Linked DNA regions of Drosophila melanogaster. The protein of the gene in region 1 interacts with the protein of each later gene in a biochemical or structural test. Each region holds a gene or a part of one and is shown in the gene's direction. Other genes may lie near its edges. The genes, in order: Mekk1, ECSIT and Cdk5.

Region 1 (11,532 bases):
GAACCGAAGTCATTCAGTTTCTTCTCTGACCCAAAAGACAGGTGCGAAGTAAGCGACAAAAGCTGGCCCGGCGTGCGGGCGTTTAAATTCGGTGAGCAGTTTATAAGGTCTGATATTTCCAGATCTCTTCGCATATCGATTTTGCTCAACCCAAAATCAGTAAGCTTCACATGGCCACTGGAGGAGAGCAACATGTTGTCCGGTTTAATATCTCTGTGGACAATTCCGTGCTGATGCAGATACTGCAGCGCCATCACCATCTCGGCCACGTAGAACCGGGCCGTGGGCTCGTCAAAATACCCAAACATGGCCAGCAGTGACTTGAGATCCCCGCCCACCATGTACTCCATCACCAGGTAGACGTAGGAGAGCGATTGCAGGGAGTAGAAGAGACTGACACAGAACTGAGAGCGGGAGAGGGCCAGGGCATTCCGCTCCGTGATTACCTGGGACACCATGTTCTTGTTGATCATCTCTGACTTGCGCATCACCTTGATGGCGAACAGCCGCTTCGAGTCGTTGTTCTTGTAGCCCAGGAAGACTTTTCCAAAGGCGCCGCGGCTGATTGGCTTAATGATGACAAAATCCTTGATAGTGGGAAGCTGTATAAGAAAGCGAATGTATCCATTACTATATAATAAAGTGACCTAAGTGGTGGTGGTAATTCTTATAGCCCAAGGCAGAACAAAGGAAAATAATATAGCTAAAGTTAGACATAGAAAAACTTCAGTTCTAGATATAAAAAATAAAAAATCTTAAAAAAGCATATGTGTATATATATAATTGGATAAAAGAAGATATATGTACATCAATAGCCAGTAAAAGGAAATGAAGAAAGGAGCTATGTAAAAAAAACAGAAGATAAATAGAACTGTAAAAATGTTTTTGAAATGGAAATCCTATATAACATCACATTTGAACGTACATATGTTTTTCGTTTTTCCTATAATACATAAACATAACCTTTTCATTAATTCTTGAACATGTACTGCCCTTTTTTAATCAATTTACATAAACACTGTGTTTAGAGGCATTTCAAATTTTCTTGATTAGCAACCGTGGCTAACTGTAAACCACCCACGTGTGGTAATCGCCAGTTTGCGATTCCTCCGCGTACCTTGGCATTCTGGGAGTGATTCTCCGGCTTGGTGGTAAGGATGTTGATCTTGTCCAGCAACTGCTCACTGTCGATCAGCGAGTGGGTCTTCTTGGGGGTTTTGTAGTCGATGTGGACATCCGATTGCGAAGTCGCATCGGCGTTTTCCATATCTTCCAGGTTTCCGACGGTCAGAGTGCGATTTTCTCGCGGTTTCGCACAATATATACAATTATCGTACAGAGATATACAATGTATAGAATTCGATATAGACCTGAATGCTATTAGCTTGTTTATTGCACAATTTTTATTTCAAACACACATTTAAAACAGCGCGTCTATTTTCTATGACCTGAACTAGAGGTGAAACTAATTCGATTCTTAGTATTATCGATGTTTCTAGAAATTTGACAACATCGATGTTATTGCAGTTTAAAATTAAACGATTTTTTAAACTAAAATTAAATATTACCAAAAAGAAATGCATATTAGTAAGATACCGGTTGAATATTTCAAGTAAATTTATTCAAATATTTCTTTATGCATATATATAAAAGTAGATATACACAAAAATGTTAAAAATGTAACAGTTAGTAACTATTGATAAATGGTTAGGCTTTTATTAATTTGATTTAAATATTATTTTTTTTTAAGAAACACATAGCAGGATCACCATATCACCATCACCATTATGAACAGTCGATAATTCCCGATAGCTATAAATTGTTATCGAATCCCAGCTCGCTTTGCAACACTTGCGTTCCACCTGGAATTTATTTACGTGCTGAAATTCGAAGTTTTTTTTGTGATAAAACAGCACTCCATGAATGAAAGTGTGTTCCGGATACAGCCAAACAGACAGTGAGCAATGCGCCATACCCTGTCATCAAATAGCAGCCGCCCAGAGTGAGGATCCGCTTGCCAATCCGTCAGAGAAATCCCCGCCAAGATGATGCCATACCTTCGCCGCCTTTTCAGCCAGGAGCTCTCTCCGGCTGCTCAGGGCGATTTTCTGGGCTGCTTGCAGCAGGCGCCCAGTGTCCTGGCCACCGGATTCCCTGGAGCACCCGCACTGGAGAGCCTAAGTTGGTTACACAACCTAGCGCCGTGCTTCCCGCTGCGAGGCGATCAAATTCAGGTCATCCACGAGCCAAAGCACTTCTACGAAACGCTGGTGCAACGAATCGGTCAGGCCAAACGCCGTATAGTGCTGGCCAGTTTGTACCTGGGCACTGGGCAACTGGAGAACGCAATGGTTCAGACGTTGCGTCACAGCCTGGAGCAACAGTCTGCCCTGAGGCTCAACGTGCTGTTGGACTTTACACGCGGCACGCGGGGAACCCTCAACTCCAAGACCATGTTGCTACCCCTGGTCCGCGACTTTGCGAGCCAGGTGCAGCTATCCCTGTACCATACGCCTGATCTGCGCGGGATGACAAAGCGACTAGCACCGCCACGGTGGAATGAGCTTCTCGGACTACAGCACATGAAGGTCTACCTGTTCGACGATGCCGTGATCATATCAGGCGCCAATCTGTCCAATGACTACTTCACCAACCGGCAGGATCGATACATACTCATTGAGGACAAACCGTTGGCGGATTTCTATGCGCAGTTCATCGAACGCGTTCAAGAGTTTAGTTTGGCAGTGGCGCCAGATGCCAGCGAGGGACTGCACCGCAACTGGCGAATACTGCCGTACGAGGGCACCAAGGAGCAGTTTATCCAGCTTGCCCGTAAACGTATTTCCGATTTAGTGCAGGAGACGTTTCAGCGGCAGGCGCGAACTAAAGAGCAGAATCCGCAGGCAGACACATGGATTTTTCCGCTGCTTGAGATGGGCCAGATCGGCATTCATCACGACAGCGTGGTGACCAAGCGGCTGCTCTCCAACTGCTTGTCTGGATCACGGCTGAAACTGGCCACCGGGTACTTCAACCTGACGCAGGAGTACATGGACACGCTCACGCACAAGTGCCTGGCCCAATGCAGCATACTGATGGCTCATCCAAATGTGAGTGGCTATCAGTAATTAGTTGACCAATAGTAACCCGATTTAATTCATTTTCCAGGCAAACGGCTTTCAGGGTGCCAAAGGACCAGCGGGCGGAATTCCGGCTGCCTACACACTGATAGCCAAGAGTTTCTACGAGAGCCTGGTCCGCCGGAAGCAAAACCACCGCGTTAACTTCTTCGAGTACGAAAAGCCCGGCTGGACGTACCATGCTAAAGGACTGTGGTACTACCTGCCAGAGGCAATACTGCCAAACCTCACGCTGATCGGCTCTTCGAACTTTGGCGAGCGATCGGTGAACCGCGATCTGGAGACACAGGTGTGCCTTGTGACGGCTAATAAGGATCTAAGCCAGCGGCTGCAGGCGGAAGCTGACCGGCTGTACGATCTGTCACAGACGGCGGAGCGGGAAATCGTCCAACGACCCGTTCCGCGATGGGTCCAGGCCGTCGTTCGCATATTCAGGAATTTCTTCTAGGCTCTTCGATATAGTAGTTTAATTTTTTTCGTTCTTTGTTAAGCCCCATATCCCAGGTAGTTAATTTAGTTTTATAATTCGTGTTTAATCTTTGCCCTGGGCAAGTGTTTCTATTGCTGGTAATTGTTGATTTTGTACACACGCTAAAGTTTGTTAAATAATAAAGAGAATCGAGGGCATGCAGAAGGAAAAATACCACGCTGTGTTCTAATCACCAGGGGGATCATCATTTTAGAATCAAGTGCATATGTTATAAATATTTGTACTATCTATATGTACTTTCATTTAGTTTTAATAATTTTTGGTGCTGATAATAATCATGCGTTCAAAATTAAATATCCCGCCCATCTGTGAATAGTGATGGACGCCTAACGATGGTTTACCGCTTTGGAGAGGCAGAAATAATCGGATAGACCAATGTTTTTAGCTATTTTCAAGAATGTATTTCGAACTTTGTTGAAAAAAGTTGCAATTTGTTTAATTATTATTTTCAGATGTCCTCAATGTGTTTACCAATTTTGTTAAAAGAAATTTAAGAGCAAAGTCTAAGCAAAAATTTAACTCTTCGAAATACTCTGCTAAGTTTAAGCTTTTAACCAATTGTTGAACGAAAAGTCCCAGTTTGATTATCGCTTCTTTGCCACCTCTAAAGCTCTCTCTTTTTTCACTCTTCAAAAACGCCGGGCGACTTGAGTGGCTCGAAGACTTTAGTTAGCTGCTTTTTTTGGCCCGGTAAGACGTACGACAAAGTGCTTACCTGCGTGCCAAGTTCGGGAGCGCGTTAAACGTTATGTGTTTGCTCGCCGTGAAAGTTAAATTAAAATAAATCTGATTATCGCCAAAGGCAAAACAAAAAGAAAAATAAAAACGCGGCGCGTGCTTACTAAAGTGCAAGTGTGTGTTGGTGCTGGATTGCGATAGTGTTTGTGCACTGGCGGCTGGCTGAGCATGTGTGCGTGTGAGCAGCAAATTCCAAGAATATAACAAAAGCAGAAAAAACAGAGTTTTGCAAAAATGTCAAACAGGCGAAGAGTGCGAACAATTGATTATCTGGCGCTGCAGCAGAGTTTGCGTTTGCAAAAGACACCGGCAGCAACAACAAATGCAGAGGAGCAGGTGGCAAGGGAGGAGGAGAATGGCAATGGGCATCATAGTACCGTTACAGCTGAAACGCCACCCACACCACCCATCCCGCCCATTCCGCCCATACGATTACGACGCGAGCAGAGCGTCGAGGAGGATGTTGCAAGGTGAGCAGAGCACACCAGCGGTTTTCGAATTGCTGGGCTTTTCCCAACACAAACAGAAACAAGAAAGTCTGCATTGGCACGTAACTAACAAGCGCTCTCTTTCCCATTTCCTCTCCCCCTCTTTTAACATATCTCTGTCGCGGCTCTGCTCTCAAAGCCATATTTGCGGGGTTTCCCTCTCATTCGCTCTCGCATTTCTTCTCTCTCGCTGTGCATTTCACCAGTTTTAATTGTTTAAACGTAAACAACGTGTTTTTTGACCACGTTATCTTGTTGTTGGCCTGGGTGGCTCAACGAACCCCAGAATTTAGCGAACTGCAAGACAGGCACAAAAAATGAACAGCAACAAATTGCGAATTCTGCCTGAAATTAAACACTTTGTGTGCAGCGCAATTAAAATTCTGCACAGGTGCACTGCAAAAATTGGATCACATTTGTGTAACGCATACTCGTCGAACACGTAATATATTTAGAAATTTTTGTGGAAATTTTAGTAGATTGAGATTGAAACCAAATCTTGAAGTCTAAACGCTCCTTTATGTAACAGTAACGATTGTTTTCAGTGATCAACAAGTTTTCTCACTTACAAGAGAGCACCCTTCATAAATATTTTAAACTGATTTTAATGTGTTCAAATAAAAAAGCAATAATTGCTAGGTATTACATTACAAAAACTAAGTTTCTTTATAATGCATGTTATATTCGCTCTGCGTCGTTTTTCGTAGTATTTCGGCATTTATCATAGTCATATTTTTGTGTGGGGCCGCCTCAAGTCTTCCAAGATATTTGCTGATAACGCTGACGGTGGACTGATAACACATACACACGCTCACCTTGAGAGAATTACGGATACGTTTTCCGCTGTTTTTTTTTTTTGTGTCTTATGCGCAGGGGCTTATTCATAATACACTTCATTTTTTTGATTTGATTTTTATGGGATAGGTGAGTGTTCATCGTTTTGCGGGAAAACATGATTGTCGTATGTTAGCAGGAAATTTGCGACAAACATCCATTTTCTTTTGGCACCTGTTTCTATGGCAACTAAGTGAAATTAGCCGAGATTTATGTGTCTGCTGCTCGCTCTTTTTTTCGTTGGTCTCTATATTTTAATACCTGTTAATTGATAAGTTGATTGGTTCGCTGGAAAAATGGCAACGTATAGATATAATATTACATATGTTTTTTTTTTTATTAAAGCATCGTATATGCTAAGATACAAGCAGTGATTCTTTAGGAAAGGTTACGAAAAAGTTTTTGACTTTAAAGGTTTAAACAGCATTTATAGGGTAATCGGTAGTTCGGACATCTGTAAGCATTGTTCTCATTTGATGCCGCCAATCTTGTTCTTCTTCAGCTGGTATACCTGTTTTAGGGGGGAGGGAAGAAGAAGAAGAGACGGAGGGGAGACTATTGGAAGTTAAAACGCGTTTAATACGTGCGTTTGCCCACTCTGCTTTGTAACCTCTTTCGTTATTCTGTTTTCAAATCGAATTCGCTTTCTTCTCATATCTCCGTCCATAATGTTTTGTGGTTGTCACCTGGCTAACTGAATGGAATTCCGATGATTGAAGGTCTCTGGCCTAACTGTTGTTGGCTTTGGTGAAGAGAGCGGGAGCTCGCGCTCTTGCAACATTCGTATTTGTACTTGAACTTGCAGGTTATCTTTCTCTCTCTCTCTCTTTTGCTCCACGTTCTAGACCTCAGTTCAGTTGGTTATAATTTTGGGGCTTTCGTATGTTTGATAAGCATAATTGTACACACATATCAGAAAACATTTCCGCATATTACACACGCACGCGCCCACACACACACGTGCCACTGCCGTTTGCACTAATTTTAGAAGTTTCTAATGTGTTTTTAAATGCCATGTTTACAGAAGAAAACAGCATAAACATGAGATTCACAGATTGTGTATGATTTGTTATTTCCATTTATTTAAAAATTGAAAACCTCTCAAAATCCATTTGATTACTATTTTACATTTTTAACTTTTTACTTTACTTTAAGAAGCATTGAAAGATAAAACTAAAAACTATGGTTGCATATTAACATTTGTTTACATTTAATAATCTTGATTGGGTGTCTGATTGTCTGTTTCTTATTACAACTCACTTTGTTTTGGACGAACTCGTCCTATCAGTCGATCTGATAAATTGATCGCTTAGTCATCGAATTTCCAATGCTTCATACATAAATGGGGACCACGGTGCGAATGTGCAACTTTTATGTGTATCTATAAATATGAAGTATACGCACCGCTGGTCACGTGACCAAAGATTTTCATATAGAGCCAATGAAGTTGATTGACTTGATTTGAATCGATTTTCATATTCTGACCGTTTGTAGAAAAATACCTACACTCAAAAGCTTAAGTAAACACATTGCTTATTAGCCAACAAGCGGGTACATAATAAAATGCCATAAATTAATAATAAATATTCTCGCGGCTAAGACAATTGCGAACCACAAACAAACGCAATGCGCTCCAGAAACGATCGAATACCCCTTTGCGTTCCACAACAAACCGTATCACGGTGGTGTGTCTCTCTTTCTTGTGCTCTTAGTTTCCATACCTCTGTTGCTCATCTTATTGCGTCTCCTCTCTCTGAGATACCATACACAAATGGCTATAGTTTATAGTGGCAGGTATTGTATTTATTGTAAACCGTAGGCTTCACAATTTATATTTAATATGTTATGCATACTTTTACACTTTCTGTGCCACACTCCAGTAGTTTCTGACTGAAATGACCACTGGTAAATGTTAAACATAACTATTTAATAGCTAAACCGGCATCCCCGATTTGAAGTGGCCACCCACTAGTTGCTCTCCGCTGAGGGCCGTAAACAATCGGATGCGTCGGTCGGGCGGTCGTCGCTCGCTCTTTTCAGTTCGCCGCGATTGGCAGTGAATAGCAGTCGGTTTGGGGGCGACACCGCTTCGTCGGCACCGCGGCACACACTCGCTTGCGCTACATACAAAACCGTATACTGTACGCATTGGCGAATAGATGGGGAATATTCTTGTTAAAAGTGCTAATAAATTGACTGACTGGCTGCCGCGACAAGTGCTGCGCGTTATGAAATTCGAAAGGGTTCGGTGCGAGGCGTGCGAACTACTGCCGCCTGTTTGCAATTCGTCGTGATAAACCAGAAAACCAGCCAGAAAACTACACACTACTACGGTGGGAGATAGTGCATAACCCATAACCCACCCCACCAGTAAAGATTCCATCGATCCGAGAAGGGAATCGGCAGTCGCATACCGCGGATCGGTCATCCAGCCCCCAGGCCAGTCCAGTCATCGTTCGCTGGCTCGCGTCTAAAGTTCTCTCCAGCTCTACCAGCTTTTAATTGTGAGCTGTCGCTTTTTATTTGCTCTCAGATCGTTCCGCCGCTGTTTGTTTTTTGTCCCCAGAGTGGGTTGTAGTGGTGTATGGTGCGGTGCAATTAGATGTGCATAAATCTGGCTCGGGCACCCACCGGAGACTCTGAAAGTAACACTAGCCCTCGATTGCGGCGATTAAGCAAAGTTTAAAACAGCGGCATTATCAACCAGCCAGTTGAGAGTAAAAAAGAGGATTGCACTCTCCAAGGTTCTCTCTCGTCTCGCTGCGACTCGCTGATTAGTGCCGGTTTTGGAGCTATTGGACTGCGCAAACAGTGATTGCCCAGGAGGAGGTCTGCAAAATGCGTCGGAAGAAGTGAGTGATCCAAGCCAATGGGCTGATGAAAAGTGTGACGCGATTTGCACACCACAATCAAACGAGTAATTGCCAGCCAATTTTGGGCTTTTTTGGTCGGGAATAAATCAAACCTCTGCTCAAATTAGGGCATAATCGCAGGCGTGACATGCGGCTGTCTGCAACACCGGCAGCAGTCAGATAAGATAGGGATGTCCTCCTCCCCAGAGTTTGCCGCTTTCACTCCCTTGGATACACCGACAAATTTGTATGTGATGCACACGGAGAACAGCGTGAAATTTGGTTGAAAGTTCAAATAAAAAATTTTAATGTTAGTTCGGGATAACTGTTATTTATCAACTGATAATTGATTTCGCTAAAAACTCGATTCAAACACTCATTGATATAGTCCTAAAAAAAAAGATATATTATATTGCGACAATATGAAAATTAATATACATTAACTTAGCAATTTAATCACTTTATCGCAGATGTAAAATATATTGAGTGAAAAATTCCTTGTTCAATAAATTACACACCGTAATACTAAAGCTTTTTTCTGAGTGCAGTAGGTATATTTATCTGGGTTATCGGCGATTAAGCGGCACTTGTCCGCCGTTGCAATTAGCGAAACAATTAGGACAAGCCCCTAGATTAATGCAAATATACTATACTATATTTAACGTCATCATCTACTCTTTTTTTTTTTGATCTTTTAGAGTTGAGTACCGTGTGAAGCAGACGCCTTCGCGTCCAGTGCAGATGACTCGAAATCGGATTGGTGCTTTGGAGGAGGACATGCCTCCCGAAGATGAGCTGGCGGCGCACTATGAGGCCTTCGGCACTACTCCGCCACGTACCAGGCTCAAAATCAAGAACCGCGACTGGGAACGCAAACAGAAGGTGGTCAATGTGACAGCGTGAGTATCAGTACAGTCAATCAGTAAATGCGGTGTGCTCCATATGGATAAGGCATCAGGATGGCCGCGATAAGGGTTTGCGTCCGTGCTAGGTACGTGATCGGGAATAGTGACGAACGCAAACTCACCAAATGACCATATGCTACCATATGCCGCATCTGATAGTGCCATCTCTATGGCTGATGTCATTTTCGTAATCACTGTTATTAGAAAATGGAAATAATTTTAAATAACCTTGAAGTATTTAATATCCATTTACAAATAAATATGTTTCAAGAATTGCCCATTTTACACAGTTTAAAATTTGATTTTAATATAAATTACAAAAATCTCAGATAATTATTTGGAAATTAATATCCAGAAATATATAGAATTTCAGGGTGTAACCTCAAGAATATGCAAATAACAGTAGTCTTTTTATTATAATAAAAAAATGCAGATCTCCTGTGTTGTTAATGGTATCCGCTTTTTTTTATATTAGCGACCACTTTCTAAACGCTTTTTCTCAGTTCCGCAGACTTACCGGCCAGTGTGGGTGGCACCCCCAAAAAGACCAGGACGGCCAGATCCCGCGTCCTGCGGCGCAACACTATGGACTGCGCCCTGCTCAACGAGATGTTTGTCAACGATGAGAGCAAGCGGACGGACAAGCGGCTGCAGTCACTCCTTCGCGACTCGGAACGTGAGATGAAGAACTCGTTGGCCACAACGGCGGTGGCTGCTCCACGAGGTAACAGCTTCCACGAGACAGCTCATCCGCTGGAGTCTCTGGACCAGATCATGCCGCTCAATTCGGAGGCAATGGCGCCGATTCCACTGCGAATTGCTTCCAAGGTGGTGGAGAGCTGCAATCGCTATCGCTGCGTGTCCTCACGTCCCATTGGGTATCGCTCCTCGGCGCCGCCGTTGGCTTTCGCTGCCCAACTTCCCGCTGGAATGCTAAGGAGTGATGGAAGAGCAACACCTGGGTTGGGGAAAAGAAAGGACTTCCACGAAACGTTTGCCAATCTAATTAAGCTCGGTAGCGTAGATCGACAGGACGCCAAACTATCACAGGAGGAGCACACCTGGCAGACTGAGCTGAAGGATCTCATCTGGCTAGAGCTACAGGCCTGGCAAGCAGACCGAACTGTGGAGCAGCAGGACAAGTACCTTTTCGAAGCGCGTCAGGGAGTCTCCGATCTGCTCACCCACATTATAAACTACAAGTTCCAGCCGCGTTATCGCCGCGAGCCGAGTCTGATAAGCTTGGATAGTGGCACTCATTCCGATAGCAATTCTAATGCCAGCTGTATGTGAAACCATTCTTCAAAAGTAAACCCCTTATTATTTATTATTTAAATCTATTCTCCAGCTCCACTGCCCAGCAAGATGTGCCAAGGATGCATGTCGCTGTACTGCAAGGATTGCATGGATCATCAGGAGTTGGCGCTGCGAGAAGTGGAGGGTATGCTGACGCGCCTGGAAGCTGCAGAGGCACTCTACCCTTCCTCACAGGCCATGGGCGCCCTGCATCCCATTTACAAATCACAGAGCTTTGTAGGGCGCATCAAGTCCATGTGCTTATGGTATAACATTACCAAGCAGAACAAGTTGAAGCTCAGTATTTTAGGAAAAATTCTGGCAAGACTGCAGGATGAGAAGTTCTCTTGGCCCGTGTGCACTTCCTCCTACATCGCCACCGACAGCGGTAGTTCATCAGCATCGGGTGTAGAGAACGATGATTCGGCTGTTAACTCAATGGATTCATCAAAGCCGCCCAGTATGGCCGGATCAGCCTCGCGAAAGGGTGTGACACCGTGCCACAAAGTGCAATTCATGTTAAACGACGCCACCCACGTGCCAGGCGAGACATCAAGTAGCAATGAGTAAGTATATACGAAGTAGTACAAAATTGAAGAAAAGAAATAATATACATTTTCCTTCAGATCCACCTCCACGGAGGTAAGCCAGTGGTCCAGCGAGTGCTCTCACAGCCATATGCGTAAGGGATCCATGCACGACATCAACATTTTCAGTGTCGAGCCATTGGGTACGTGCAGCAGCAATGGGACAGGAGAGCAATCCACTGGGCTGTATCGCAAGTTCATT
Region 2 (10,298 bases), about 13 Mb from region 1:
GATGGCCGAGCTTGTGGGGGTCAGCAGCTGCTCGCTGGCGATCACTTGGCTGGGTTTCCTGCACAAAGAAATTCGAGTTTTAATAACCGATAACGGGTAGTCACCCGTCAGTCAGGCTTGATAAAAATGACATTAACGCAAAACAGAGAGATATAGAAAATTGAAAGGGTCAATACGATAAAAGCCTTACCGCTCGTAGAACTTGCTGCTGCCACTGCTTCGCTTGCTCCACAACGGCCACTTGAGTTCCAGAAAACCATGCTGAGGACCGGCAACCCGAAGCAGACTCATTAGAAAGAAAGTGGCATAGAACCAGCTAACGATCATGACAACGACCAGGAAGACGCCAATCTGTATGTAGGGCAATATGTTGGATGCCATCATGATTCCGCCAGCTAGACCAGTTGTGGTGGCCGCCATCACTGTGGGTCCAATGATGCGGGATAGTACAAACTGTGTGGCTGCCAATCTCTCCTTAACCGGGGACATCCGGTAGTGAATACCGTAATGTAGGCTAAAGTCCACAGCCAGACCGATAGCCGTGCTCACCGCAATGCTCTCCAAGATGTTAAGCTGCCAGCCGAGCAGGATGAGCACAGCCACGGTGTTAAAAATACTTAGCGACACGGTTAGTACGGCGTAGATGGAAATCAATATGTTTACGGTGAAGCATAGGAGCACTGCAAGTGATGCAGCCATGGCCAGACAAATGGCAACAAAGGTGTCGTGCGAAAGGGTGTCCTGCACATTGTAAAATTTCAGGTCGCTCGTGAACCATCCTCCTTGAAGTTCCGGCGGTGCCGTTTTTAACTGCATCTGAAACCAGTGCTCTACAGACTCGTAGAACTGCCTAATATTTGCGTAGATGGTGCTGTAGGCCACGTTGGACTCGAACTCGATGACCAGGGCTTTGACTAGTAGCGGTGTAAATGATCCGTTGGTGCTGTACTCTGCACTCTCATTTCCACTCATTCCTAGGTAATCCTCAGTCTCCAGTCGGGGAGCCTCTGCAAACTTGGGTCCTGCCACGCCGGGCCGGAAAAATGTAGTGTCATACATGTTGGATATGCTTTGTGGCAAGCAGTACTCAAATATGTGCGGCTCAAAGGGAAACTGTGCGTCACAGCAGGGTGAACGGTCTTTCCTGGTACTGTCCATATCATCGATGCATCTGAACAACATGAACAAAAGCTTCTATTAATGATTGCAAATTGTATTGGTGTCTCTATATCTCCTGTCTTAATCCATCTAAACCAGTTCCAGCTTTCAAATGTAAACAAAATCGATTTTTCTGAACCCAGTTTTAATGAGCTTTCTAAGCCATTGTAAGTATGTATATAATTGTATATGCTCACCTGCGCTTCATATAGTCGATAAGATTTTCAATGAAACAATTGGGCAACAGCATGCCGAGAGTCTCTTTGTAAAAGGGTTGCTGGCGCACACTCTGGCAAAAATCAAGGATCCAGAGTTGTGCCGGCCTGCTGGATACGTTAAAATTATTGTCATAGTGCAGGTGGCCGTATGAGTTGGGGTTCGTATAGTCGCCGTCGTCCACCGCTTGAACGCCCCAGACGAAATGCATGTGCATCTTGAAGTTCTCGTACGCCTGCAATGGTTTCTCGAACCAGAACTGCTGCTTGAGACTGGAGTAAACCTCAAATGGATGCTTTGACACAAAGAGCTGGAAGTGTGATTTTTCCGGCAACTGAAGTCCTGGATACCAGAACACAATGACGGCACTGGACGCGCCTAGAGCCCCAAAGATCAGCAGCCAGAGATAGGCATAGTTCATGATGCTTTTCGTGATGCACTCCTCAAACATCTGACAAAATCGGTTAATTGACTTCTTGCAGGCGTGGATCAGCTTTATTGACATCGGATGATGGCAGGACATCCTTGTGGCAAATAGTCGTTCCATGATGGAGACCGATGCAGGCAACCAAGTTATCATTAGTAAGTAGTTGGTCACCACGACAGTTCCCGCAAAAATCCTAAAAATATAATTTATTAAATGAGCATTACTAAATATTAAGATTCATCTAATCTTGCTTTTATTAACTTACCCAAAGCACTTTATAGCTGTTATAGAGCTGCTGTAGGAGGCATAAAAGGCGCCGGCGGTGGTAAGTGAGGTAACGAACATGGAGGCAGCGGCATGTCGCATAGTCAGCGCCATTATGTTTTCCAGTGACTCCGTGTGATCACTGTTCTCCAGGGTGGGAAGAGCACTCTGGGACTGAGTGGTCAAGGTACATCGATTGCTGAACCTCTCGGTCAGCACACAGTGCCAGATCTTAAGAAACAGAAATACGTCGTCTGCTCCAATGCCAATTATTACTACCACGGCCAGAAGGTTCATATAGGGGAAGAACTCAAACTCCAGCACGATGGCGTAAAAAAAGTACGCTAGTCCTAGCGAAAAGCATATGGCTACGCAGGACATCAAGGTGATGAATGCCGATCCCGTGTACAACCACACGCTAGCCATGACGAATGTCCCTCCCAGCGAAACTAGCCACACGTCCGTCAGCAGCAGCTCGTTAAAGAGTTCGTTTTCGAGGCCCAAGTCCATCGCAACCACTTCCACAAGCTCGTTGATCAGCTCCCTGAAAAATCATTCAGAATATTATTATCAAACAGAAAACATCAAAAATATTTTTAAATAAAAGAAAAATACAAAAAAAATTGCAAAATGGATCCAGTTCAACGGGAAAAGGAATTAATTAAAATGGAATTGCCAAGGACGAGGGTGCTTGTAACCACCAGCAGAGCGGATTATGTGGATCATACTGAAAGAGCCGTTTACAATCCCCCGATTAAGAAAACCCAAGAGGATCCCTCTCTAATAAGTGGTCACTACTGCGCAAATCTAAAGGTTGGTGGCATTGAATATAAAACAAAGACATGGCCCCAATCAATGGACTGGCGGGAGGACTACGCACAGTTCATCAAGCGCAACAAGTGGTGTAACGAAAGGATCTACAAGCTATTTTTTATGTATCCGCCTGTGGATTTCCGAATTCTGAAGGACTTTGTGAAGGACCTTCGTAGATCGGTGTACATGAACGATTACTCTCGGAATGACTTCGTTTCTTTTGTAAGTCGACGGCGCTATAGGAACAAAAAAGGTTACTCTCTCAAGGACGAGGACTATCGGACCACATATGGGTGCTATTACAATTTCCTGCAGGAAACGGAGCCGTTTAGGAGCTCCTTCTATCCAGAACGTAGGCTAAAGGACACTACTCTGGACAAAATCGCCAGCGATTTACGAAAAATTTTCACAAAGTACAACTTGACCACCTATTTTGATACCATATGCGTTCCGGCCTTGATGAAAGCTAAAAATAATGTAATGCCCTCCACACCCATCGACCGGTATCAATTTCGCAAATATTAGCTGTGCTCCATACTTACACGTCTTCCCATTCGTGGAACAGTGGCAGCAAGCGGTTGGATTGCGCCACGGGTATAAAAATCATGGCGTATTTCAGGTATACATTCGAGTCCTACAAAAAAAAAAAGTGCCAATATTATATGGTCGAATTTAATGCAATACGAGTAAAGCAACGGACAAATACAAATCTGTTTTAATAAAAGAGTTTTGGGGTCTAAGCTTATTTTAAACTCAATAACTTACATTAGACTTGATGAAACTAAAGTCGGTGAGAAAATTCAGGACGTTAAAGACGATATTTAGCCGCTTGCACTCTTCAGGAGCACGACAATGCGGTATTTCGTTGCAGTGGTTGTCCATCTTTAGGTCATGGAAGTACTCATAGCAGCCCAAGAGCAGCGTGTGCAGCGAAGTAACATCCTCCGTGGTAAGGTCGAAACAGGAACTTTTGTTGGCCAGCATGGCGGCGTAGTTGGGCAGTGACCATGGCCGGCAGCACTCGGTGGTAAGCATCTCCGGCTCGCAAAATGCCCGGTAGCTGGGGACTTCGGTAATCTGATCCTGCAACTGACACATGGCCAGCAGTCCGTTCAAATCAAATAGAGAATCGGTGGCGTTGGGACCGATCCGCTGGACCACAAAATGAGAGTACTCCTTCCGGGGCGATGAATCGCAAAAGAATCCCTCGATGGGTTGGCGACGATGCATGTCTGCCCAACCGTCGGTGGGCAAGGTGGCGGCTTGCTTTAGGAGCCGCCAAGTGCTCTTCTTGGTCTGCACCCGCTGCTGATGCTCTTCCTCGTCCACTGAGGTGGTGTTGTGGCCATATTCGATTTGCTCAGTGCGTCGCGTGGGTTCCAAAGAGGAGGAAGCGCTGTCGTTTGTAATCTCGTAGTCGCGAAATACTCCACTGTCCCCGATCCAGGTGTCAAAGCCGAGATTTGGAGAGGGAGAACTAGTAGCCTTCAGCCGTTTTTTGAACTGCATCATCTTCTGCGCCACATCGTGATGCTCGTGGCTGCTTTGATTTTGTTCCTTGCGTCGCTTGTTCTTGTTTCTGTTCTTGTGCTTGTTTTTGCGTCGCCTGTGATTCGGATGCAGCTTCGTCTCCACATAGCCCTGCTCTACCCGTCTCCTCTCCCACAGATCCGATGGATTTGAGAAAAGAGCACCATGGTGGTCAGTCTCTTGCAGCAGGTTGTACCAGGCCGTCAGTCGTTCTCCAATTTTGGTGCCGCGGGTTTCGAAGCCCTAAAGTGAAATAAATGTTGAATCATAAATATTAATCATGACAAATAATCACATTATAAAGTGATCAAATAAGTCATATTAGTGAGAAATTAATCTTATTATTTTCCACAATTTTTACAACAATAACATAATAACAATGAAAATATAATACAGGAATAGTTTGTATACAAGTAATCCTGTAGTTTCTTATAGCAATTCTGTGAATATTTAAAATATTTTAACTTCTTAATATTTAAAAAAAATAGATATATAACGAAATTTAAATAAAATAATATCATTTAGACATTTTCGGATTATTTCCATGTGCTCAATATTTTAAAAAATAATTGTAAAATAAGATAAGATATATTCTCCAAATATCAAGCAGTGAACATGTTTTGGACAAATCTAATAGGACAAACCAAGGTGGGATCACTGAAGTCCGGCAGCTTGTTCAGGACGAGGGCCACGATGATGCAAGCGACACAGTAGACAGCAATGGAGACGACCACCAGGTAGGGACGCCTGGCCAGGACGTGGTAGTACCAGTTCATCCTCTCCGAGTCGAAGCACAACATGTCAGTAGAATGTGATGCCCGAATCCTCTTTACCCTCTTCGCATTGCGGGAACATCAAATGCTCCTTGGGTTTCCGCTTCCCTTCAGTGCATCCTTGGCGGCTGGAAGTCTCGAATAACGTTGGGCTGGTGGGTGCTCCTTGGGACCAAGCCAAAGTCTATTGTTTTGCTTCTGTTATAGATACTGCCTGCTGGTCAGGCCTCCGCCGCAGAGATCGGCTTGTTGGATTGCATTTTTATGTAGGCGCGCGCCCGTGCAAATAACTCAGGGTTCGGAACTAACTTAAACAACAGAAAAACAACCGAAAACTATGCGAATAAGGATAACGCAGAAAACGGTGAAATAACAACAAAAAGCAGCACAAAGGATACACTGAGTTAATACAGTGTTGAGCAACTCAGTCACCAGTGATGATGGCCCTAAGCCAGACAAACAGCTGTTCTCCGAAGGAAGAGATTCGTGAAGGTAGTCACAATGAGCTTATGCAATATTCACTTCAACTTTTGTTACTAGCGTATGACTTTAAGCGTGTATTACGGTCATGACACTATTTAAGCTTGAAAATCTTTGGGTACAGCCGAAACTAAATACAATTTTTCGCCCTAGAATTTACCAAATTTGGCTAAATACGCTAGACTATCGGCACTATTAAAACATATGTTGCAGCAGCAGTGCTGCAAAACGCGAACTAGTTCCGCAGCTTGTGCAATGTTTTGTAATCGTATTTGCAAATTTATTCAATTAATTAATTATAAATAAAAAATGCTGCGCCGCGCACAATGCCTGCTCCGGCTGCACGGCAATGGAGGCCATTCGCTGGTCAGCCGCTTTCGAAACTACGCTACGGACGAGGGAAATCCGAAACAGAACCCGAATCCAAATCCCAGGGCACAAAAACCCGGCACCAAAAACCTGCCGGCTTTAAGGAACCCCTTTGCCGCCGCCCAGGACAGGACGAAAAACAGCTACCTGACCATGGTGGAGATATTCCAGGAGCGCGACGTCCACCGTCGGAACCATGTGGAGTTCATCTACGCGGCACTCAAGAATATGGCGGATTTCGGGGTGGAAAGAGACTTGGAGGTCTACAAGGCCCTGATCAACGTGATGCCCAAGGGCAAGTTCATACCCACCAACATGTTCCAGGCAGAGTTCATGCACTACCCCAAACAGCAGCAGTGTATCATTGATCTGCTTGAGCAGATGGAAGATTGCGGGGTGATGCCCGATCACGAGATGGAGGCGATGCTGCTTAATGTGTTTGGCAGGCAGGGACATCCACTGCGCAAGTATTGGCGCATGATGTACTGGATGCCAAAGTTTAAGAACCTATCACCGTGGCCACTGCCCGATCCTGTTCCGGATGATACATTGGAAATGGCCAAGCTGGCGCTAGAGCGGATGTGCACGGTCGACCTGCGGTCCAAAATCACGGTTTTCGAGACCAGCGAGCTGAAGGATGCCATTGACGATACGTGGATCGTGAGCGGAATGAGTCCCGAGCAGGAGAAACTGCTGCGGGAGCACTCTCGCCAGAAAGCTCTGTACATCGAGGGACCCTTTCACATATGGCTTAGGAATCGCCGGATCAACTACTTTACCCTGCGCGCTGATGCAGATTCTGAGTTCCTGTCTGAATTAGATGAGCGGCAGCTGGACGAGGACGATGTCTCCCACATCGAAGTACCCTTCTTTGGTCGTGCTCCACCAAGGCGACACAACCAGCTGGGAAAGCTGCGCTCTGTCCACCAACAGGACGACGGAACCATTATGGCCATCTGTGCCACAGGCACCTCCACAAAGGACTCATTGCTCTCGTGGATTCGCCTGTTGGAAGCGAACGGAAATCCCTCCATAGGAGAGGTGCCCGTCCTCTTCCGGTTCACATCCGAAGTGCCAGCCAAGGCGGAGGAAATTGAAGGTGGCGCCAGTGTCCCGGCAACAAGTGATAACAGTAGTCAAGATGAGCACATTAGCAGTAGACAGAAATAAACAAATTGTTGAGCACTTTTTCGTCTTTGTATACCATAGAATTGATGGTAAATGTTGCTTAAAGTTAGTCGGTTTTGATCATATGTACATATATATGTACATCTGCTAGAAGGAAAAAAATTAATACTTCGGTAATTATTTATACTCTTTGGCTCGGACGCGAATTGAAAGCAACATTGTATGCATTTTGGGGTGGATTTTAATGAAATAAGGTTAATTGAGAAGGATTACTCACAACATCCGATTGTGAGCCGAGCTTAAACGAAAAATCACAGAACCCGAAACTAAGTGTACAGAAGATCTGCCTAAGATTTAACGCCTCCCTCTAATTGCTAATTAAGTATATGTACATGTCATCTTTGTTTGAGATATATAGATATGTCATTGGAACTATCCATCTGGCCCGCTTCTCTACTTTATGCCTGTCTTGTTGACCGGAAACACCTGCGTGACAACTCCGATTCCTTTGCTGGTGCCCTCGCGGAACAGGATGCGCATTCCAGGACGCACGTACTCCGGGTGGCCGACGAACTCGAACATCACCGAAGCACAATCGTTTGTGCCCAGTCGCTCGCCGCCCATAATGCCCCGAATGACGGCCGTCTGGCGAATGCTGCCTATGTGGACTGTGGTTTGGAAGCCGACATAGATGGCCGTGGCGTGGAACAGCACGGACACCTTGGCCTGCAAAGGGAAGTTGATGTATTTATTTGGTAACGATAAATGAAAACTAGCAACTCACTTGGAAGAAGAAGGTCCCGTAGGGCTCATCCAGACTATTTCCAATATCACCCAAAAGAACCATGCCACTTCGTAGCGTGGGCACATCCTGATCCATACTGAAAGACAGCGAAGCGCTCTGACCAGCTCGGACAACTCGGCAAGGAGCCTTGTTTCGGTGGATAGTATTAACAGTAACGGGATGAAAGCTACCATCGGGAAGCGGACCAATCTTCATTGCCATATTCTCGGTCAGCACGCCCTGGACAAGTAGACCGCCCACAACGGGTCCGACGTCAGAGACCCGGAAGATCTCGTCCACCTGGAACTCGCAAGACTCCTGCTCGAGTCGATCCTTCTCGGCGTTGCTGATTCCGGGCGAAAGGACGTACAGAAACTTTGTGACTAGGTTGAGTCCCGTGCCGGTCACATTCGATACGCAAAAGATGGGCACAATGTTCTCGGAGATCTGGTTTGACCCGGCGGAGATGGCCTCATCCGTGTTGGTCACCACAAAGGGAACCTTCCGGCACCCAATGGTGGTGAGCAGGTTGCACAACTCCTGTACCGTCGCGTCCGGCGATGTGATATCTGTCTTCGTGACCAATACAAAGAAGGGCATGTCCAGTGCCCGCACGATAGCCAAGTGCTCCTCGGTGGTGTCGTTGCAACCGCTGCCCGCCGATACCACCAGCATGGCGTAGTGGGGTGAGTATCCACTCAGTGCCTGCACGGTGGTGCGCATGTAGCGTCGGTGTCCGGCTAGATCCATGAAGGTAACCAGCTTGCTGGACCTGTCGCTAATCTCCTCTGCCGTCATCATCTCATTGTACTTGTAGTTGACCACATTACCCAGTGCATCGAAGCCAAGCGTCTCGTGGGAGATGCAGGAGGTGCGGCCTTAAGGAAAAGAGGAGCAAATTGGTAATTTTCAAGCAAACAAACCGGACTTTGTGAGTGATAAATATAATTTAAAAAAAAGTTTGTAAACGAGAGATGTATGAATAATGTAGTACAACTGATATATTCCTTATTGATGACAATTTAAAATGGATGCCAAACATCTTAATTTAATTTATATCTGTGTTTAGTGCTTATAACGACATATTACCAGACTGAATCTCGTGCATGTGCCTAAACATATTGAGCCGCGCCCGGCCGTGTCCGTTATCCAGCTCGTCCTGTGTAAGCACGCCCAGCAAAGTGGATTTGCCTGCATCAGCTCCGCCGAGCACCGCCACCCGAACCTCGATGTTGTGCTGGTCGTCGGGGATCTTACGGACCAGTACCTCGGCGACGGCGCGTCGGGCGGCGATGGTCTTTCGCCGCAGCACTGAGGTACTGGCTCCTAGGCTGTGGGCCATCTGCTTGAGCGTGGTGAGCGAGGCATTCATGTCCTTGTCGCTGAGTCCCTGCAGATAGCCGGCGTCGGATACTCCAATCTCGTAGATGGCCTCGCCGTTTCCCTCGCGCAGACGCCACTTCATCTGGGTCACCAGGTGCTCGAATCGCTGCTTCGACGGGTTGACCAGCTTCAGCTTGTACTCCACATTTCCGAGCTGCGGCTCTGGTGGCAGCATTCCCTGCTCGAAGTCGAAGATCAGGTTGCCCCGCTCGGTGGGCATCCCGCTCACTACGCTGCACTCGTTGGCATTGGCGTCCGTCTCATAGTCGCTGCTGCTGCTTCCGCCGCCGCTGCTGTTGCCATTGAGCTCGGGCTCTTCCTCGAAGCCGTCGTCCTGATTGGGATCAAAGAGACTCAGGAAGGACTCCATAATGTGTTGCTGCAAAAGGGAAGCGTGGATCATATAAATACAAAATTCAGATGAGGTAAATGGTAAAAATTCTGTTTAGACAAAGGAACTCTTTGTCTTGAGAAGAAAACATTTTTTGGGCCAATTGCGACATCGAAAATGTACATATGTACATACTTATGTACATACATACAGATTTTCGAACAGCCGTGGCTGAAATAATAGCAATGAGATACATGCATAAGTAAATATTATTTGATTTGTTTACTCATACTGTACTGTATTTAGTCTGAGAATTACCCAATATAATTGGGTTGAAATAACTTTTAATATTGTACTAAAGTTTTTTTAATTTTATTTCGACACCACGTCATTTGTTTCACTTTAAAAACAATTATTTTTCAACTTCTATGTATCTTTTTGATGGAACCGTTTGCTTATGTGTATCCATCAAAACTGAAATTTTCCCCATTTGTTTTTTTGGCCGTCTTTGACTTGCAGCGACCTTGAAAATGCTTGTTTATGTTTGCCACGACTCTGGCCGTTGTTTCGAGCCCACGCGCGGGGGCAGGTGGAACAGAAGGTCGATAATACGACAAGTTCCAAACATCTTACCAGATAATC
Region 3 (10,687 bases), on another chromosome or scaffold:
TCCTAACGAACGACACCTGCCCTCGGAAAATGCCACTACTGCACCCCGCGAGAAACTTTCGCCCCATTTGGTGGCGTGTGTCTCGCTTTTCTTCTTGCTGTTTGCATTGGTCGCCCCTTTTCCTTTTGGCGATACACTGCTGCTGATGTTGCACGAATGTTGTAAATCAAAAGTAGGCGAGTCACACGAAGGGTCTTCCTGCCCCCCCGAAATCCCTGCCACCGCCGATAGCCGCTGCTTGCCAGCGCCTCTGCTGCTGCGCCTATTTGACTGGCAGGCCGAGCGGATAACGCTGGCAATTATCGCGCTTGTGCCTCACGAACAGCGGAAGCGGCAGAGGCGCCACATCATGTTACCCGGCCCGATTCCCCAGACCTTCCACATCCCCAAACTCTTTGTTAGCCTGCATCCTTTGCTTTCTTTTGTACCACTCGTTTTTCTTTGTGCAATCCAATTGGTAGCGCTCAGAAAACAAAGCAAAAACGATTGAAAATAACAACAACCAGTCCCGGCTACAAGTCCCCCAAAATATGGCAACAGAAACAAGAAGAAAAAAAACGATTCATATACGAGTATAGCCATGCACCTAGACCACCCCATCCGGTCAGTCAGTCAGTCATTGAAGTCATTTATTGCCACCAAAAGTTTTTCGCTGTTTGCCATACCCTCGCAGAGGTTATTACGGCTCAGACTAGGAGCAGGACACGAAGGATCTCAATGGGTGTAGTTATCGTATACAGGACTGTAAGAAGTTATAACCCAATGACATTACCTATAGGACTATCATTATTATCAAATCTTAATGACACACATCTATATGTGTATATTTCATAGCTGAATATGGCCATATAAATGAGATGTTTCTCTTGCAACTAAACCTACTTTTTAGGACTATATATTGTGCATACACATAACACGTTTTCATTAGAAAGAAAGCTTAATAACAAAGGGCATTCCATGCTTCGGTTAACCAATCGAGCCTCACTGTTGTACTTATTTTTACTTCTGGTTGTACTGTACTTGTCTTTGGAGCTGGAGCGGATCTGAACGACTCCTTCCCGGGAAGGACCGTTCCGTTTCAGTACGTTCCGTGTGCAGGATATGTTTACAATTTGCGGACACGCCGACCGTCATTTGATTGCTCCCCTCGCGCTTGTCGAATTCTCGGTTAATTCGCCAGGTGGCTTCAGACTGCGCATTGCCATCGGCGGCGGGGGGAAAGGATTGGGAGGCTTTGGGGCGGAAAAATGGGAGGGCAATGATAAGCGTTCCTCGTTTGTTTGCTCGGAAGCCTCACGGAAGATGACGTGCCCGGGATGGCCCATAAATGAGACTGGCCAAAGCAAACAGACCGGATACACAGGATACATTCAATCAAATAAGGCTATTCGTAACCGGAAAAGGGCAGGACGACTCTATGTCTTCCTCAATCTGACCAAACACTCCGCTAATCGTATGGTTAATAACTAAAATACCTGTGGATAATCTTTAAACGTTTTCAATATGTAAGTCAGTGAGATACAGATACAGTAGATTGAAGCTTTCTGACTATATAAAGTATTTACTTATTTATGATGAGCAAAATTGAATGTTGATGATGAACATTTTATTTGTTCCAGCAAATTGTTCAAATTCAAATTAAAAGTAATGGCGCCAAAGATAGAATTCATCTGTTGACGAAGGCTGGCAGCTACAGAACAATCTAACTAAGCTATGGGATTCGTTTCAACACACTCGTCGTAGAACTCCACTAGTTTTGTTTTCTCACTAAATTAACATGCAGCCCCGCGATCTTATGCGCATTTTAATATTATTCTGCTTGCGTTTTGCATTTAACTTTTTGATTGTTTACCTCCAAAAACATAACGCCGTTCCAGTGGAGCAGAAACGGCTTGGAACCCTCGATAGAGGCAAAAGCTGGAGGCTATAAAACTCGCACAGCTGAGTTTTATTTTGCACGCGACATTGAATTTGATGAGATGGAAAAATGCATTATTTGCGTAGATAACTTGAGAAAATACAAGTGCAGCAAATGCTCGGCACCCTAGTAAGTAGCTATTCGAACAGTTCACTACGGAGATAATAAATGTCGCAAAATGTAGCTGCTCTGTGGCTTGTTATAAGACACACAGGGATTCGCCCCAATGTGCGACAAGGGAGTCCGACTTGAAAAAGACTGAAGTTGGCTACCAGGAGGAACCTACGCTTCATGTGCCCTTCCCCACCGACGACACAGTTGCCGCGGAGAAGCTCCAGCAACTAGGTAGGTGTTTAAATTCGCAATTATACACATTTCTCATAGTATGATGGTTTCCGTACAGAAAACTGCCAGGAACTGCGTAATTTGCTCCACAATCCACACCTGCGTTCGCTGCTCCAGCAGATTGATGTGGCCATCAATGCCCAGTCGGCCATGATGGCCGCCATGCAGGAGCCACTCTTCGTGGAGTTCGCTAATGCCTGCCTTCAAGTCGTCGAACCGATGACGGATGCTGAGCGCACTGAATTTGAGTTGTACTCCTGAATTAAGTTGACACACAGTCTCAATAAAACTAAGCCTTTATTTTGTAACTAATAGTACTGTCAATCCTTGGCAGCTTCTAGAGGAGCTTGCATTGAAGAACTCCTGGAAACTTCTCATTGAAATCCGCCGGTAAGGTTGAATCTTTTCCATAACCAGGGAAAACGTACAACTAATTATTTGGCTCGGCCATTTAAAGTTATCTATCTCAGCTGGCATATCAAACTAGTCATCAGTCTACAGCTTCGTTCCTTGGCAATCAAACTCAATCAAAGTAAATTGAAACTGGATCCGAGTTAAAAGTGATTTTTGGATGCTTCATGTGCAACTTGAAAAGCCTATGTTCCCCTTGCACTTTCCAGGTCATGGGGATGGGATCCTGTAATGAAAAATATTAGAAACGAAAGCTAATATAAGTTGTGAAATACTTAGACCTCATTAGACATGAGATACGTGTTTAGTTCCACATAAATATTAAGTGCTGTGGTACGGTTTTCTCCCAGTTTCTTCGCATCGAATGTGAACTCCTTAAATCCGAAGGTGCAATGGTATATACCCAGGACCTCGTGTGTGTTTAGGTTTTGTATTAAGGTATGAAACTTAATTTCGTCCACACAAACCGAATTTTGTATATAAAATTCATTGACATTAATGTGAAGATGCTGATACGCATGCATACCAAAATTAGCCACCTTTAGGGTCTTAATAGCCACATTTAAACCGTAAGTTTCACAAAATATGGATGTATTTTGGCTTATCTCGATCATATTTATAGTGCTTCTCTTCGCAGCTATGAGAATCTCTCTCAGAAATCCGTATCTAACGTGACCACAAAGAAATAGCTTCTTCAAGTGAGTTAGACGTTCCAGTTTCGATAGGAACCACACCATCATTTCCTCCTGGAAGCACTGCAGCTGCTCTAGGTTTCTAATCCCTTTCCAGGGCAGTTCTGTGTTCGAAATCTGGTCAATATCGAAGATACCCAGCTTCAGGGATTTTATTTTTCTGGTTTTCAGGATCTGTATCAAGTTGGTGACATTGAATTTGCTGCAGTAGGAGACCGTGAGGTTCTCGAGAAACTCGAATTCATCAAAGTGTTTGCCAGTAAACTTTCCATGGGGGCTAAAAGTTGTCAGATTTGGAAAAGTTTTCAACATTCTTGGCACGTCCGCATCGTTTAAGTTAAACGAATGCGTGGAAAATCGAAAATCTTTAAGTTTTGGAAAACTACAGCTGGTAAGTGTTTCGAAGTTAGATCTATTATTCATTTTGAGCCGCAGAGTGCTGAGGATTTGTTGAGTACTTTCCAGGAAGAATAGCAAATCCTTGTCGCTCAGCTGCATTTCAATCAAGGATATATATGCACATTTGTTATAAGCACGCCACACATACGGCATTAATTTCTTAAACCGGAAATGAAAGTCTTTCAGTTTTAGTTGGGTCTTCAAGTCGAGATAACTTAGAATTATCATTAGAACATCATCGGGCAGACATAGTAAGCCAGGCTTGGTATTCTGCAAAGGGCAAAAGAAATTAGGAAACTTGTATACTTATATTTCTGCTATATTGTTGCATTGCGGTACCATAAGATCGGTGTTTATCATTGTCGGTCTATATTCGTATGTTTAGCTAATATCGAGTCCAAATAAAACAATAAAATTATAACAAAAGTTTTATCAACATTTTTAAAATGATATCTGTTAATTTTGAGTATTTTTGGTGACAGCAGACTGTCAGCTGCGATGTTGGTTAGTCACCGCGTGCTGTAAGCGAATAACAGTGTGCTGTTAGGCGCACGAATCCCTGGCCAGCAAAAACAAACTGCAAAAACAATAATCCCCGGAGTTTTCCATCTGAACGCAAAATAATACACACCAAAACACAGCAAAATGCAGAAGTACGATAAAATGGAGAAGATCGGGGAGGGCACCTACGGCACGGTGTTCAAGGGTCGCAACCGCGACACCATGGAAATAGTGGCCCTGAAACGGGTGCGACTGGACGAGGACGACGAGGGTGTGCCCAGTTCTGCCCTCCGGGAGATCTGCCTGCTGAAGGTCAGTCGGACGAGCAGGAAGTGATTCCAGTTTATAAACTAAATCGGCACATTACCATCCGTAGGAGCTGAAGCACAAGAACATTGTGCGCCTCATAGACGTCCTGCACTCGGACAAGAAACTCACCCTGGTCTTCGAGCACTGCGACCAGGACCTCAAGAAGTACTTTGACAGCCTCAACGGGGAGATCGACATGGCCGTCTGCAGGAGCTTTATGCTCCAACTGCTCCGCGGACTGGCATTCTGCCACAGGTATACCTATATATGTATCAGCACTGGATTAGGTCTTATCTTGTGTCGATTATAGTTAGAATCAAGTGTTATTTGGAGTAACTTCATCTGTGGCACATTTCCGAATGATATCCATTTTATAGCATTGAGACTTAACTTACGCTACATTATCCTATTTTAGCCATAATGTCCTGCATCGCGATCTGAAACCACAGAACCTGCTGATCAACAAAAACGGCGAGCTAAAGCTAGCTGACTTTGGTCTCGCTAGAGCCTTTGGCATTCCCGTGAAGTGCTACTCCGCAGAAGTGGTGACCCTGTGGTACCGACCACCCGATGTCCTATTTGGAGCCAAGCTCTATACGACCAGCATAGACATGTGGTCCGCTGGATGCATTTTGGCCGAACTGGCGGACGCTGGACGACCGCTGTTTCCTGGCTCTGACGTGCTCGATCAGCTGATGAAGATCTTCCGTGTGCTGGGCACCCCCAACGAGGACTCCTGGCCAGGAGTTTCGCACCTCTCCGACTACGTGGCGCTTCCATGTAGGGATTCTAGACGGATTTTATTTATCGATACCAATATTAAAAGCCTATTTATATTATAGCTTTTCCGGCCATCACCTCGTGGAGTCAGCTGGTACCTAGGCTAAACTCCAAGGGACGCGACCTGCTGCAAAAGCTGCTCATCTGCCGGCCAAATCAGCGAATTAGCGCGGAGGCGGCGATGCAGCATCCCTACTTTACGGACAGCAGCTCTTCGGGACATTGAGGTCGGAAGGTTCTTTCCAAGCCACTGTTTTCACGACCTTTGATTAGACTTAAGCCAAAATGCGAGACTTTGTCCAGCAAAGATCTTTTAATTATATATGTATGTCCTTGCAGTAGAGTTCGATTATAGTATAAGATAAAAAGTTCTTTATAATTTCATTAGTTTGATTTACCAAAGCAAAAGGTTTGATTTATGACAATCCCTACCAATGTGACACTTAATATAGCCATTTGAGCTGCCAAATTAACATTTATCGATAAAATACTTATTGATTCAGTAAAATAGTTTTATTCTTAAAAATTTTTATGTTGAGTGTATCGTTAAGATCCGAAAATTGTTCAAATTCCTAGACGATATCTACTGTTTGTGTGAATGTGGAAAAAATATTTGAAATCCTAGTTTCTGTTTTCAAAGACTAAAAACTAGGCAATACATCTGGTTTCCAAATTTAATGAGTGTCGACGATTTTCTTATTACATTTATTGTGTATTTTTAAGAATTTCGATCTTTCTGAATGATATGAGTCATTAAGTAAATTAGAATAAAAAAAATTGAGATGTAACCTAGATTTTTAAACCAATAAAGACACTTACCGCAGCACTACGTCGTCGCAGCATGATGAATATTTTGAAGTGGTCGCCTCAACCCCCGGCACTCAATAGGGGTTAAAGTCGTTCTGCGCACTCGCGAGTTAGAAATTGAGAACTTTACAGATTGAGAGATTTTTTTATTGTGCTACGAATTGCTAACCGAACCGGTCGGATTTCTGAATCTTAAGCACCGAGTACCTCGGAAATTCTTTTATATATATTATTAGACGAATAAACAAGGCTACCTGTGGATCGGATAATTCGCTATATAGTTAATAATCGGAAAACTGTGTTAACCGCGCAGATAAAACAAAAGCTGTTATCAGCAGCAACCCATTTTCTAATATAAATAACAAATAAGTGCTGCAGAAATGACTTGGGGATTTGTAACCTGCGGCCCCAACGAGGCTTTAGTTGTCTCTGGTAAATCACACGATCCTTATATGCTCAAAATAATGTCAAATCGATTAAATAAATAAGTCAGTGAATAAAAATGAAATTGTCACGCACACACACATATATATACACCCCACCCCAAGTGACGTCACTATCGATTTTTGTGTACCGCAAATGTTGTTGTTGGGATAACAGGGGAAGAAGCTGAATATGCGGCAGTCCGAAGCCATGCGTGCGCATTTGAACGGCGTTGCGGTGCTGTTATCCAAATGCTGCAATGTTTTGTAAACAAAGTGTTTTTTGTTTGTTTTCTGCGCAGGGTGCTGCTACATGAAGCCGCTTTTGGTGCCGGGAGGACGAGCATTCGTTTGGCCAGTGGGCCAGCAGGTTCAGCGGTGAGTTTTAACCGGCTTAGACCAGGGGTTCCAACGAAAAGCCACAGGTTAGGGAGGCGCTAAAAAGCGCGGGTATTCGAAATATTATTCGTAAGAATTCGGTTTTATTAAAATATATTAAATTATAATAAAATAATCTTATTTTATCAGATAATATTTAGTTAATATTTCTGGCTTCGTATCTGAGTCCCTAGTCTTAAGATAACAAGCCCTCAGATGTTAAATGTCCGCCAATCTTCCCCAGAATTTCGTTGAACACGATGACCCTCCAGGTAGAGAGTCCTTGCGTGTACACCAGCCAAGGAGTGCCCATCTCGGTGACAGGCATTGCACAGGTGAAGGTCCAGGGTCAGAACGAGGACATGCTGCTGACCGCCTGTGAGCAGTTCTTGGGCAAATCAGAGGCAGAGATCAACCACATCGCCTTGGTCACCCTGGAGGGGCATCAGCGTGCCATCATGGGTTCGATGACCGTGGAGGAGATCTACAAGGACCGCAAGAAGTTCAGCAAGCAGGTGTTTGAGGTGGCCTCCAGCGATTTGGCCAACATGGGAATAACCGTGGTTTCCTACACCATCAAGGATTTGCGCGATGAGGAGGTGCGTAGTTCCAACCGATTACTTTTTACCACTCTCCCCGCACAACTAACCCAATCATCAGCAGTGATGGGAATAGGTTCTGTATTTTATATATATATTAGTTTTGGTTTTGTATACTTGAACAAAAATTTATTTAGCAATTCTGCAGTGATTCTATATATATTCAAACTTATTTTCTATTTTAGATTTTCTTTTTTTTATTCGATTTTCCCATCACTGTGTACCGGCTTCAAAGCTCCCTTTTTTCAAATAACCTCTTGTATATATGTGAATATATATATTTCTTGCATGTCCACATGGATCCTCTGTAGGGCGACTCAAAGGTGCGTATGTCCGCCCAACCGCCTGTGCGTGGAATCGTTGGGACACGTCCATCAAATTCAGCTTCTTGTGTAACTATCGGGATACTAACTCCTCGCGTTCAATTTCCATTTTCAGGGCTACCTGAGGTCATTGGGTATGGCCCGCACGGCGGAGGTGAAGCGCGATGCCCGCATTGGCGAGGCTGAGGCCCGAGCGGAGGCCCACATTAAGGAGGCCATTGCCGAGGAGCAACGCATGGCCGCACGCTTCCTCAACGATACCGATATTGCCAAGGCCCAGCGCGACTTTGAGCTGAAGAAGGCAGCATACGATGTGGAAGTGCAGACCAAAAAGGCCGAGGCCGAGATGGCCTACGAGCTGCAAGCGGCCAAGACCAAGCAGCGCATCAAGGAGGAGCAGATGCAGGTGAAGGTGATCGAGCGCACGCAGGAGATTGCCGTCCAGGAGCAGGAGATCATGCGCCGCGAGCGAGAGCTGGAGGCCACCATCCGCCGACCGGCCGAGGCGGAGAAGTTCCGCATGGAGAAATTGGCCGAGGCCAACAAGCAGCGCGTGGTCATGGAAGCCGAGGCCGAGGCTGAATCGGTTAGATACCATCTAAATATTTGCTTATAGACTACGATTAACTGAAGCATCTCCATCTTCTTTGCAACAGATCAGGATTCGTGGTGAGGCTGAGGCCTTTGCCATTGCGGCCAAGGCTAAAGCAGAGGCCGAGCAGATGGCCATGAAGGCAGAGGCCTATCGTGAGTACCGTGAGGCTGCCATGGTGGAGATGCTCCTGGACACACTGCCAAAGGTTTGTCAATGGTTAGATTAAAAGAATCTATAATTTATTCTATGTTGAATCTAATTCGCAGGTTGCCGCCGAGGTGGCTGCTCCACTGTCACAGGCTAAGAAGATCACGATGGTGTCCAGCGGAACTGGCGATATCGGTGCTGCCAAGCTGACCGGCGAGGTTCTGTCGATCGTCAACAAAGTGCCAGAGCTGGTCAAGAACATAACCGGCGTGGACATTGCTCGGGTACGTTCCAATTCTGAATTTATCTAACTTCAGAGCTCGTCGAGGTGAATGAATGACGACGCAATCGAAACCAAAACAAATGGCAATCAAAAGACTTTGTAGACAGGAGGACGCTGCTTTCGTTTGCTACCTTCGTTTGATTTGAGCCTTGTTTTGCGATATAAATTCCCTGGTTTCGATTCACTTTACGTTTCCTTTCTCTTCATTTCAGTCTGTGCATGCTGGCTAAAAAAGTACCCAAAAGAAAACCAAAAACACACAAAATTATGTACTCTTCAAAACGAAAATAAGAAAACAAAAAAGAAATTACGCTATATTGAACGATCGAATACTTCAAAACTGAAATCGAACGCATTTAAATTTCTTTATAATTAATATATTATTGAATCTTTGTGCTAACCCGACAAATTTTGCAACATGTTTTACACACACACTCAGAGAGAGGAGCAAAAATATTTTGTATTACATGTATAATGTATTTATATAAGTGTATTGCACAAAGCGTGGAATAAATATTCTTCCTTGGATCAACAAATTGAGTTTATTTTAATGGGTCGGCAAATATAAAGGAAGTTGAAATTTTAAAATACCAAAGGTTTTGGCGGTTATTCCACATTGCCACACTTTTCAATTTCGCATATGCGCTGCCACCTTTTGATATAAATACGTTGGGCAACCAGCGTTGCCATGCCTTTTAATTAATCCATAAACGATACGTCTTCAGTTATTTTATAATGTTTTATTAATTTTAAATATATTATTATTAATGTATTAATCAGCCAATTGTTTCTGATGAAGCATTGAAGTTGGCTTCTCTCAGATAACTTCAGCTTTAGTGAAAGTTATGAAAAGGAATGGAATAAGAGAATTTGTAGGCATTTATATATAATAGCATTGTTATCACAAAATATATATTATATATTCAAGACGCAAAAAACAATCGATGCGATATAAGAAGTTGAATACATCGATAGTTTCGATAGGTTGATGTTGTACCATCACTAATAGCAGCTCTGTCCAGCTGTGCGGATAAAAAATCATAATCAGAATATCAGTATTATAACGCACATTACTCCCAAGAGTGTAATCTGAAAACCCACTTGAGTTAAGACAAATCCTAGAAAATAGAAAACCATAAATATTGTTTCCGCTCAACAAAACAAACACAAAGAAAACAATTGCGGCAGTGGGAAGGAAAAAAGTTCCGCCTTCAAAAGAGGAATCAAGTGGTAAAAACTGCATAAATAAGTCAAGCATAGCCGCAGAACTGTAGATAATATCACAATTAAGTGATGACCAGTAGACTTGTTGACTTTTTCAGACTTCATATCGCTGCCTGTGTTTATTGATTTTGTTTTTGGCCTGTTATCAACAACCTGCCGCCCACTCCCACCCTCCCCCTCTCCACACTCGACAAATGTATTCTTATTTACCCAACAAACAATTGGTTTTCAAAGCCACATATCTTATCAGTCAGTCCCCCCGAAATCTTGCTAATTTGTTTATACTTATCTGATCACCGCGATCGGTGATAATCCCAAATTAGATGGAGATATCTGCTCAAGCAGATGTTAATTGACCGATGGCTTTGTTAATCGAATTGCTGCTACCTAACAAAAGCGATTCGATTCAAACGTGTTAAATAGTAATTTGCGCCTTGAATAATGCCGCACCCACTCGTCAACAAAAAATCAATAAATGCAGATCCCTACCAACTTTATGCACTCACACACTCCCTCCAATTTTTCCATTCTAGCTAAAATGACTACCTAAAGCC

The links.
Region 2: the proteins of Mekk1 (region 1) and ECSIT form a complex in vitro, tested with the Drosophila melanogaster proteins (one study listed by BioGRID).
Region 3: of the proteins of Mekk1 (region 1) and Cdk5, one has a biochemical effect on the other in vitro, tested with the Drosophila melanogaster proteins (one study listed by BioGRID).

Annotation. Positions count from the first base shown.
Region 1 is NT_033777.3:18,736,307-18,747,838, reverse strand, and holds the start of Mekk1 (Mekk1), read left to right. Parts: upstream 1-4,244; 5' UTR 4,245-4,602; coding exon 4,603-4,838; intron 4,839-7,742; exon of another isoform or gene 7,743-8,542; intron 8,543-9,240; coding exon 9,241-9,441; intron 9,442-9,950; coding exon 9,951-10,732; intron 10,733-10,795; coding exon 10,796-11,309; intron 11,310-11,369; coding exon 11,370-11,532. Other genes in the region: gwl (greatwall), read right to left, coding at 1-602, 1,118-1,267; PGS1 (phosphatidylglycerophosphate synthase 1), read left to right, coding at 2,046-3,110, 3,169-3,588.
Region 2 is NT_033777.3:5,850,701-5,860,998, forward strand, and holds ECSIT (ECSIT), read left to right. Parts: upstream 1-5,884; 5' UTR 5,885-5,970; coding exon 5,971-7,200; 3' UTR 7,201-7,214; downstream 7,215-10,298. Other genes in the region: disp (dispatched), read right to left, coding at 1-58, 191-1,171, 1,356-1,994, 2,067-2,609, 3,421-3,512, 3,644-4,651, 5,053-5,208; CG34287 (uncharacterized protein), read left to right, coding at 2,696-3,403; CG2017 (uncharacterized protein), read right to left, coding at 7,612-7,884, 7,943-8,820, 9,032-9,704. UniProt on the Drosophila melanogaster protein: As part of the MCIA complex, involved in the assembly of the mitochondrial complex I. Involved in the innate immune response; promotes the production of antibacterial peptides.
Region 3 is NT_033778.4:15,565,026-15,575,712, reverse strand, and holds Cdk5 (Cyclin-dependent kinase 5), read left to right. Parts: upstream 1-4,295; 5' UTR 4,296-4,410; coding exon 4,411-4,578; intron 4,579-4,642; coding exon 4,643-4,830; intron 4,831-4,990; coding exon 4,991-5,355; intron 5,356-5,417; coding exon 5,418-5,581; 3' UTR 5,582-6,174; downstream 6,175-10,687. Other genes in the region: CG8204 (uncharacterized protein), read left to right, coding at 1,980-2,047, 2,103-2,263, 2,322-2,524; CG30466 (uncharacterized protein), read right to left, coding at 2,787-2,900, 2,956-4,035, 6,175-6,198; Flo1 (flotillin 1), read left to right, coding at 6,543-6,594, 6,887-6,962, 7,207-7,561, 7,873-7,884, 8,000-8,470, 8,541-8,684, 8,746-8,910, 9,122-9,139. UniProt on the Drosophila melanogaster protein: Probably involved in the control of the cell cycle. Interacts with D1 and D3-type G1 cyclins. Possible regulator of neuronal differentiation and/or development.